Caenorhabditis elegans: one gene and its partner. The protein of the gene in region 2 interacts with the protein of the main gene of each other region in a biochemical or structural test. Each region holds a gene or a part of one and is shown on either strand. Other genes may lie near its edges.

The links.
Region 1: of the proteins of prmt-9 (region 2) and his-3, one has a biochemical effect on the other in vitro, tested with the Caenorhabditis elegans proteins (one study listed by BioGRID).

The regions. Positions count from the first base shown.
Region 1 is NC_003283.11:16,038,781-16,041,947, forward strand, and holds his-3 (Histone H2A), read left to right. Parts: upstream 1-2,027; coding exon 2,028-2,411; downstream 2,412-3,167. Other genes in the region: his-4 (Histone H2B 2), read right to left, coding at 1,364-1,735; his-2 (Histone H3), read right to left, coding at 3,093-3,167. UniProt on the Caenorhabditis elegans protein: Core component of nucleosome. Nucleosomes wrap and compact DNA into chromatin, limiting DNA accessibility to the cellular machineries which require DNA as a template.
Region 2 is NC_003282.8:12,678,268-12,686,212, forward strand, and holds the start of prmt-9 (PRotein arginine MethylTransferase), read right to left. Parts: upstream 6,112-7,945; coding exon 5,943-6,111; intron 5,889-5,942; coding exon 5,611-5,888; intron 4,844-5,610; coding exon 4,734-4,843; intron 4,679-4,733; coding exon 4,420-4,678; intron 3,044-4,419; coding exon 2,742-3,043; intron 2,679-2,741; coding exon 2,513-2,678; intron 1,840-2,512; coding exon 1,623-1,839; intron 980-1,622; coding exon 627-979; intron 1-626.

The DNA of each region.
Region 1 (3,167 bases), on a different chromosome or scaffold from region 2:
TGTTTCAAATTGTGCAGAAATCCTACTTCCCATTCGTATTTTTTGCTGGCACCGTGATGTTTTCTTACCATTTGTAAGCCATAATTTGCATTTAATTTTAAGTTTTTTACGGTGTAAAAACTTAATCAGATATGTATGTACCTTACGCACAAAGTAAGAAAGTCTTTCAAAAAATCACCTAGCTTTTGTTGCAGAATATTATCTTTTAAATTTCCTAAAAGCTTTTGAAAAATTCAACCAGTTTCCTTTTTTTTGAAACTTTAAAGAATTTTCAGAAGAGCCTCAAAAATTTTCAAAACTGCAGTTTTTGAAATTGTCAAAACTTTCCAGATTTCTAATCGTTTCCGGGTTTCTAGAAAAAATTTCTCCAACTTTCCCATTGATTTCCAAGTGACTAATAGGCTTCAAATACTCCTGAAATTTCTGGGTTTGTTCAAACTTTTTCGAGTTTTCCAGAACATTCTCAATGGTTCTAAACATTTGTAGAGTTGACCAGAAGAAATTTCTAAAGATCTTTTAAAGATCCTAGCTAACTTTAGCAAATTCTTGAATGTTTCCAAACTTTCAAAAATGCTCCATTAATATAGGATTCTCTATTTTCAGAAATTTTCAGAAATTTCTCAGTGTTTTCAGAAGTTTGTATTACATTTTGAAGAGTTAAGGAAATTTTCAGAAATCAAAGAACTCGAAAGAACAAATCTGTCCCATTTTTGATAGCTCGATCGAACCCAAAAATTTGAACGGGTTTTTAAATACACATAGGATCACTTGAAATATCCAGAATCGCGATTGTGAATTTCCAGTGATGTACGAAGTAGGTTTCCGGAATTTTAAAAGTACAATGCTGCAAAGTTTAGAATGTATTTATATTTTTAAATATTCTTATTCTAACAACTGCACTTCTTTACGTCCCCATAGTTATAAAAATCTGGAAGCTTGATCATCGCACAAGTAGACAAGGTTTTAGGCAAACAGTTACAGTATTCGCGTTCAAGATTGCATGTTATATGTCAAACCCACTTTATATGAAACATTTACATTCAGATTATCATTCCAATTTTGTTAGTCAATTTTCTCTGGAGTAAAAACACACACAAGGGTGCAATTTTACGACTCTTTGAAAAACTAGGTGTTTTTATGAAACAAATTAATATTAAAATTATCTCCATAAAATAAAAATAAACAAACATTATTAAAAACAAAAAAATATTAAAAATTAAATTAAAAATTAATTTTAAAAACTATCCTCATATTCGTAAAAACTTTATTTCAGTTTAAAAACAGAAGAAAAATTGGATTTTTAAAAATGTGGCCCTAAAGAGGGCCGTTGGGTTCGGTTAGATTGCTTTCAGCAATTGAATGCTTACTTGCTGGAGGTGTACTTGGTGACAGCCTTGGTTCCCTCAGAGACGGCGTGCTTGGCAAGCTCTCCTGGCAGAATCAAACGGACGGCAGTTTGAATTTCGCGAGAAGAGATGGTGGATCTCTTGTTGTAGTGAGCAAGACGAGATGCCTCAGCAGCGATACGCTCGAAGACGTCGTTGACGAAAGAGTTCATGATAGACATAGCCTTGGAAGAGACTCCAGTGTCTGGATGAACCTGCTTGAGTACACGGTAGATGTACACAGAGTAGGATTCTTTACGGGCATGACGTCTCTTCTTTCCGTCCTTTGGCTTGGTGACGGTCTTGGCGGCTTTCTTTGCTCCTTTAGCAGACGGCTTTGGTGGGGCCATTTCGATTGATTGGACTGGTCGTTGGACAAGTGTAAAGAATGGGTTGATGGCCATTTCCTTTATAATAATTCATCGGTGGGAAGGAGGAGCCTATGGACATACTGCGGGGACACATTTCTATGTAGTCTCCCCAGCCGAATACGCAGAGTGCACAGTTTTTCTCGGTCACTCTGCCACCTCCTCCACCTGCCTTGTGTCTATGTGCCCGCCTAGTCACCGCAGTTGTGTTTAAAAGAGTGTGGTCTAATGGTCTCCTTCAGATCGTTTTTACATCTACCAACCAATCATCACCATGTCTGGACGCGGAAAGGGAGGCAAAGCCAAGACCGGAGGAAAGGCCAAGTCCCGCTCATCAAGAGCCGGACTCCAATTCCCAGTTGGTCGTCTTCACCGTATTCTCCGTAAAGGAAACTACGCTCAACGTGTTGGAGCCGGAGCCCCAGTTTACCTGGCTGCCGTTCTTGAGTACCTCGCTGCTGAGGTTCTCGAGTTGGCTGGAAACGCTGCCCGTGATAACAAGAAGACCAGAATTGCCCCAAGACATCTCCAACTGGCCGTCCGTAACGATGAGGAGTTGAACAAACTGTTGGCTGGAGTAACCATCGCCCAAGGAGGAGTTCTTCCAAATATCCAAGCTGTTCTTTTGCCGAAGAAAACCGGAGGAGACAAGGAATAGATGCCTTCTTAAAACATTTTACCGAACCCAACGGCCCTCTTTAGGGCCACAAATATTTAAAATCCTCTATTGAACATGAATAAAAATTATTTTTATCAATGGTTTTTGCACGTACTTTATTATAAATTGAAAATCGTTTGCAAAGAAGAAACTTCTTTTTGGATTTGGTTGATTCACAAAACGATTCGTAATTATTTTCTTCTGTCTTACAAATGTTAATTAAAATTGGACGAGGTCATTCCAAATTCAAATAAATTGGCGCCAAATTCAAAGTTGTCATTGAATGTGACCTTGTTGAACAATATGATTTTAGAGAGGTTTTCCTGGTTGAGTATTTGAATACACGTGGTTGCAAATTCCTTAGAAACAAAGATATAGTGACGTCACAATACCTACAATTGTTTGGACCTGGATCTGACTCAGATAGGCAATTGATGACGTCATTAATGACACTTTCTGTGAGGACAGTAAAACATTTTGATATTATAAAAATATACTAAATTGTATGGCTCTAAAGTTTCCTGGTTTTGTTCTTTTTTTTTAATAAGTTAAAAAATAATGAATAATTTATTCAAATTGGATTGAAAATGATTGGATCATATGTATGTGGCCCTAAAGAGGGCCGTTGGGTTCGGTGGGGTTTGAATTGAAACGGTCTCAAACTTTCTGAAAATCAGAAATTTAAGCACGTTCTCCTCGGATACGTCTGGCCAATTGGATGTCCTTTGGCATGATGGTGACTCGCTTGGCGTGGAT
Region 2 (7,945 bases):
ACTCTATTTTAAAAATCTATTACACAACATGGGTACGCGGTAATTGCCGGAATTGCCGAAAATTCACAAAACTGGCCATTGCCGAAATTGCCGGAATTTTTGAAAACCGACAATTGCCGATATTTCCGGAAATTCTCAAAACCGGCAATTTAAAAAATGCCGGAAGTTTTGAAAACCGGCAATTGCCGAAATTGCCGAAAATTCTCGAAACCGGCAATTGCCGATATTGCCAGAAATCTTAAAAACCGGCAATTGCCGTAATTGCCGAAAATTCACAAAACCGGCAATTGCCAATTGCCGGAAATTCACAAAACCGGCAATCGCCGAAATTGCCGGAAATTTTTTCTTCCGATTTTTGTCTTTTTTTTTAACCCTAGAGTCCCCGATATCAACGAAAAAAACGCTAAATTTCTGCAAAAAGGATAAAATCGAAAGTAATAAAAATTAAATTACGACAGTTGCAACAAAATTAGCAAAACTTTAAATTTTAAGAGGTTTAGTCTTTTTTTTCCTAAATTTTGAGCCGCAAAAAATTTTCTTCGAATTTTAGCAGATGTTTCATTATAAAATTCCGTGTTTCAAGGCTATTTCTAAATTTATTCAGCAATCATAGGTATTATTCTTACCGTAACGTCCTGTGTTACAGTGATATATGTGTCCTGTCGGAACTTTTCAGCGCTAATATTAAAGTCGTATAACACGAATTCCTTCGAAGCCATCACAATATCTTCTCGTTGAGTTAATCTAATATCACGCATCTCTCGAAGATTAAAACTTCGAACAGTACTCAAATCGACTTGACAATGAGCTGAAGGATCTGGTCGAGCATCGAAATGAACTCTATCTGAATAGAAGAGATGTCCAAGAATACGGAATTTTGTTGGAACAATCTTTTGAACGTGATCTCGGAATCCAACGAATTCTTCTATTCGGAAGAATGTCTCTTGATCCAATGTACCGTCGTAGCGACAGAAGTTAGCTGCAAATAAGTAAAAGTTAATTCGGAGTTTTAATAAATTTTTTTCGAACATTTTTCGATTAAAATTTTCGTTTTGAGTATTAATCTTTTTTTTCCGAAAATTTCTTTTTTTTTTTAATTATTATCGCTTTTTTCTGAAAATGTTTTTTTTTTCCAGAAAATTGATCGATTTTTTAAAGAAATTTTCTGAAAAAAAATTTTTTCCCGGAAATTAATCGATATTTTTAAAAAATTTCTGAGAATCAATCAATTTTTTTTCTTCTAAAATTGTTTCTTTCTATCCAGAAAATGAGTCGGTTTTTTCTGAAATTTTTTTTTTTCCAAAAAATTTATCGATTGCTTCTAGATATTTTTCAAATTTTTTTTTCGAAATTTATCATTTTTTAATGAAAATGTACCTCTTTTTCCTAGAAAAGTGTTCAATTTCTCTGAAATTCGTCGATTTCACCGAAAATTTATTTTAGAACTTTCAAAGTGCATAGATTTTTCAAAAAGATTTATCGATTTTTGTTTTCGAAAATCTAACAAATTTTTAGAAACGTTTTTTTTCGAATTTTTTCAAATTTCCGAAAATGAATTGACTTTTCCATAATTTAGGAGCGTTTAATTATCAAATAATAATTTCTAAAAATTTCTGACATACTAATAAGATGCCTTATAGGCGTTTGGCTTTCCACAGTATTAAGCACACACTGAGCTGGAATACTCGATGAAATATCACGAGTAAATGGAAGTTCAATCGGATCAATTTCTCCCATCATTGCCTTGAAATAACTATCATCACGGATTTTCTGAAGTTGATCCAGTGAAGCGGTCTCGTAGCGAAGACTGTCCTCGTGCTTTTGAAGATTTTCGTCGTACTGAAAACAAATTTTATAAAGTTCTAAAATTGAAATCTTTTCGCTTTTTTTTAATCCTAGAGAAATTTCAAAATCGAACAACGAAAAATTTTCGATTTTTGAAAAAAGGAATCGGAATTTTCGGTTTTTCGATTTTCTGAACATTTTTTTATTAGATTTTTCGGAAAATCAACAATTTTTAGTTTTTTTTCGATTTATAATTTTATTTTCAGAAAAATTACGTTTTTCTGCACGGTTTTTATGTTGCTAAAGTCGAATAATCGAAACATTCTTGTTTTTCCGATATTTCGAAAACAATTTGTATTTTTCGGAAAACATATTAAAATTTGGGTATTTTTCTAATTTTTTTAAAGAATAAATATCTGTTTTCTTATGTTTTTTTTTTTAATCAAAATAAATAAAATTTGATAAATATTAAATTTTAATATAAATTTTCTGCATTTTTCTTTGCTTTTTTTTTTTTGGTTTTCCGGAAAATCGAAAATTTTCGTACTTCGATTCTTTCTTTTCCGAAGTTTTCTGATTTTCTCTGAAATCCTATAGATTTCAATTTTGAAAAATTTCGTAAAACTTCCAAAACTGTTCGACATTTCAAATCGGATTTTCTCGAACTCTATCAATTTTTCTTGCATTTAAAAGTGCAAAATCGAGTAAATCGACAAAAACAACGTACAAAATCATTGTACACATCCAATCGATTATTCAAGAGTTTCCATGATCCTTCATATTCTTTATCACACTTCACCAAACATGGTTCCTTGAATGGAATAATTCCAAGATCCCATGCTCTTGATTTTGACGAGTCAATGATATTGTCTCCGTGACCAGTTAGATCAGATCTTAAAATTGAAAGTTTAGAATATTTCAAAATTAATTTAAGTTTTTTAAAGAGTAAATCTCACGTGAAATGGACAGAAAATCCGTGTGCTACTCCATCTTTCGCCGGTCGAATTTTGAAAGAATTCGAGTTGGCAAGTGAATCCTTCAAATTGGCAATACTGCTAAAATCGACCGAATGCATGGCTACTGAACCAGAAAGAAGTTCAAATTGAGAGTAATCTGCAGCTGATGCACACCAGTACGGTTGTTCGGCATCTGATTCGCCAATTTTCACGTATTCGGATCGATAACGAACTCCTCCGTAGTCTTGACAATGAATATCGAAGATTTCACGACAACTGAAGAGACGGACGTAGACGGTAGCCTGGAAATGAATAAAGTTATATTAAATTAGGGAATCAGAATGCTTTCAAGAGGATTATAGAACAAATTGTATTTCTCTGAGAGCTAAACCTTTTTCAATTTTGATATTATGGGAATTTCGCTTCTAAAAATAAAATAAAAATATTCTAAAATTCCGAATAACAATAATTTCTCTGATTTCGTCCAAAACGAGAACTCCCCGATCCATCATCGATTCCAGGGGTGTGCGGCAAATCTCAAAATTTGCCGAGCTCGGCAAATTCGGCAAATTTGCCGTGCTTAACAAACTCGGAAAAATTATATATTTTTTGATATTTTTTGGAGCACCAAAACTACTGAATTCTTAACACACCTCTGGTTTCTGAACAAGTTAGGTGTAGTGTGTCTGCTTAAACATCAAAATAACTCAATTTGTTGTCATTTTACTAAATTTTTGGCGAAAAAATCAACAGTTTTAGTCAAAATTGTACTGTCAAATTTTTGACGTGTGCGGCAAATTTCGAAATTTGCCAAGCTCGGCAAATTCGGCAAATCTACTTTTTTGAAATTTGCCGAGCTCGGCAAACGGCAAATTCGGCAAATTTGCCGCACACCCCTGATCGATTCGTTTTAAAGGTTGAGCACCGAAATCTTATAAATATTTTTTTAAAGGACTTCAAATTTTCCCCAGATTCCGAATTCTATGTGAAAAAATTCAAAAAAATTCCCTGATTTTAGCGTGAAATCAAGATTTTCAAATGCCGATTTTTCGCACCAGAGACGTCATGTGTCGATTTACGAGATTTGTGTATATTTACGAGATTTCCAATCTTTATCGGATGCTTATTTTGTTTTTCAACGAGTTTCCTTCATTTTCGTCGGTTTTTGCAAAAGTTTTTTAAAGGAAAATGTGTTTTTAGGTTAATTAAACATTATATCATCAAAAAACGAAAAATTTGTCAGGTTTTTGATGATATAATGGTTAATTGACTTCAAGAACACACATTTTCAAAAAAAAAATTGGCAAAAACCGACGAAAATGAAGGAAACTCGTTGAAAAACTGAAATCATCATCCGATAAATATTGAAAATCTCGTAAATATACACATGGCGTCTCTGGCGCGAAAATTTGGATATCTCATGAGGACGCAAATGAAAATTCGCGATTTTAAGCTGAAATATAAAACTATTTTTGAATTTTTTTCACTTAGATATTCAGAATGAGGGGAAAATTTGAAGTCATTCGAAAATATTTCCCAGATTTCGGTACTTCTTATTTAAAAAAATTAAATTAACTGAAATTTCATACTGAATTCGGAATTTTCAATCTGTTAGCTTTCAGAAAACATATTATTCATCGTAGAATTCTCTTGAAAATACGGAATTCCAAATTGTTACCTGATGCGGAATAAAGATAGTTCTGTCATGTGAAAAACGAACATGAGCGTCCAAGAAAGTCTCTACAATTTTTTCTCCGAATACACAGCAATCGAGAGTTTCGGAAACGACTATATCGGCTTTTTCACAAGTTTCAAAGTATGTCGAGTTCTTTGCGTGAACATTAACACGACTTTCAACACCGTTTCTCTTTAAAACCTCCTTAGAAATCATTGTCAGGCACATATTTTCTTCGAGAGCGGTCACCAAGTTGGTTTTTCTGGAAAAAAGAATATTTATAATTTAATTTTAATTTTTTTTTTTGAAAGTCTTACCTCGCAGCAATAGCCGATAAAATACCAGTACCGGATCCAATATCGAAGACAACTGTGATTCTGCTCTTGATAGTGTCGTTTAGAGCTTTGGCAAACGCTTCGTTTCGTTTCTGAAATTATTTTGCAGTTTAAAAGACTAATTTAAAATTTTTAAAGCTCAATTTAGCTAAAATCCTAAAATTCAGCTAATTTTTACGTTTAACAGCGGATTTAAATTCGATTTTATTAAATTATCACTTTTTATTGCATATTTTGGTTGTTTCTTACGCGTTTTTATGCTGATTTAGGGATACTAAACGACGAAAAAACTCGGTGAAGAGTGAAAATCCAATAAAAACTGATTTTCGGCGGCTTCAAACTGGCAAAATTGAAAATTTCAGCTAAACTCAGCACTTTTTCTTTGAAATTTTGAATTTGAGGGACTTTTCTGATCCGTTATTCCTCAATCAAACGTAGTTTCTGAATAATTTTAACTTTTTTTTGCATTAAATGAGGGGTATCGAATTCTTTAAAAATGTCCGAATTTCATTACTAGAACTAAATTTAGCATAAAGTCTTCAAATTCTCCATTTTTTACGTGTCTGAGCTGACTTTAATTCGTTTTTATTGCTTTTTCCGCATGTTTTAGTAGTTTATTACCAGTTTTAATAAAATTCTAGGTGTATTTTCAGTGTTTGGGAAACTATCGACTGAAAGTGTACCAAAATAAATAAAAATTAACTACAAATTAGCAAAATTTGAGATTTTAGCTGAATTTATCACTTTTTCTTCAAAAATTTCGAATTTGAGCTCTATTTTCTTAAAAATTCGCTGTTGCGATTCCGTTTGGATACATTTTTTTCCAGGAATAAATTCAATGCTAGCGGTTTTTAATTACCACATCATTGATCATTCGAATATGCCACTGTGGGAATGGAATTGTGGTTAAATTGACACGTGCAATCCTCAAAGCCACCAAATCCTCTGGTTTCGTCGCCAAATCCATCGAATCTTTGCAAATCGGCAGGCAATTCAGAAGCCATTTACTCTGCTCGGTTCCTTGTACAGCACGAATCAGAGCGATTTTCGTTCGAATCGTTTCCGGGAATAATTCCTTGATTTGTGGATAAAGGCAGACAGCCCGGGAAGCATTGTTGTGGTCCAGCGCAATCCAGCCTGCAAAAAAATTAGTTTTTTTAACAGAAAATTACACGTTTTTCCTTATAATACCATGAAGAGCTGCAGCAAACTGATCTTCATAGACTCCACGTCGTTCTACTGGTAGCATTCGTATGCAGACGAAGAAATGTTTGAGTGCCTCCTCGAAGTTTCCATCGAGAAATGCCCGTTCGGCCTTTTCCATTGAGAAGCACGGTGTTTCCTGTGCTGGTTCGGCCATCTGACAATTTATTTTTTCATTTTTATTGATAAATAGGTTAGAAATCATTAAAATAAATGAATAAAACGAGCAAAATGGGCTGGGAGCGTTCGAAAAATATATTTAAATAAATCATGGCCTAGCTCGGGTGCCTCCGTGTTTTCTCGTCCTCAAACACTTTTTTCGAGTCCCTCGTCTCGAAATTGCAAATTTTCGGCGGGCTTTTCAATTTTTCTCACCTCCCCGAACACTTTTTCAACCCAAAAACTGACATAATGTGTCGGCACAACTTCAAATGAACTTGACGCCTTCCGCAACCCGGTTTCTTATCGATTTATGTACTTTTTTGTTCAAAGTGTATATCGGTGTCCAGTTTTGGGATAAAGTGAGAGAGAAACGGAAACATTTGTGTTTGAAGCCGTTTTGATTAGTAGATCGTAAGTTTTTTAATGAATTTTTTATGGGCTACGGCAGAAACGCGGCATTTCAAAGCTCAAAAGGTTTTTTCTCGTTTTTTTTCCGATTGTTTAAGATATTTAATACGAATTATTACTCTAAATATGTGAATTAAAGCTAGAAAATCGAAAGAAACGGAGAGAAATTAAAACAAAAAATAGGAAAATTTTAAAATTCCGCAATTTGCCGTGAAAGTGTATGCAGAATCCGCAAACAACATCACGTCAAATTGCGGGAAAAGTGAAGTACAGTAGTCATTTCTTGCGTGTATTTATTTTATTTTCGAAAATTTTCTGAAATTAGTCTTAATTTTTTGTATTTTTTCACAATTTTTTCTCCCAGCAGCATAGAAAAATGTGACAAATATTTGTTTGAGCATCTCTGAGTAACAAAACGTTCAAAGTTCTTTATCACTTTGATCGATTCCGACTTTTTAGTGATTTACGACCAAGATCTCTAGAACAGAAATAATAACTTCACCTCTAAATGCCTATTATCCCATCTTATCCTTTCAGTTTTCATTTTCCAATTCCGTTCGTTCCGTTTTCTGTCAATCAGCCAAAAAGTTGTCGTTTTCCCAGCGGGAGACGTCTTCATTTCGGTCTTTTTCCGTTTTCTTTTCACCATTTCTGTCAACTGTCACCGGGGAAAAGTGTATTTTATCGTTGGCAATCACAATGATTTATTTAATCGGCGGTTTTTCTTAGATTTTTTAGATTTTAAAATTATCACCCAATTTTCAGGAATTCAAAATCGGTCATTTCTGAAACTTTTCGAAAAAACGGTTTTTTGATTTACTGTTTGAACTATAAAATTTACTAAAAAATTCTGATTTCGATGGAAAAAATCTTTTTTTGACGTTTTTCAAAAAACGATCAAAATTTTCAATAATATCCGGATATTTCTAAATTGTTCCAAAAAATTGTTTTTATTAGTTTTAAAGTTTAAAATGTGGAACATTTATTCGAATATTTTTTAAAACCCGACACCATTGCTCGTACCACAAAAACCTTCAATTATTCGATGGTTAGTCACACAATTTTTTTTTGAAAACTTTATCCGGAGCAAGTTTATTGAGCTCCGAACACGGGTAAACTCCTCAATTAGGCAATGGGTCACTTGTCACAATAAATGTCCATTGAAAACTGACAACATCTGGTGCTCAGTCCCCTCTCTCTCTCTCTGTCTTTCCTTTGAGAAACCACCTGCCAGATGTATATATTCGAATCATTTGACAATCTGCGTCTCTTCAATTCCACGAGCATTGTCTAGCTTCTTATTGCAAATATATATATGCATGCGCGCAAATGATTATTTTTTTTCGCTCGCATAGTTTCCGCATATCAGGCGTTTCCGTGCGGAAAAATAATAAAAAATTTGACACTTGCGCGTTTTGCAA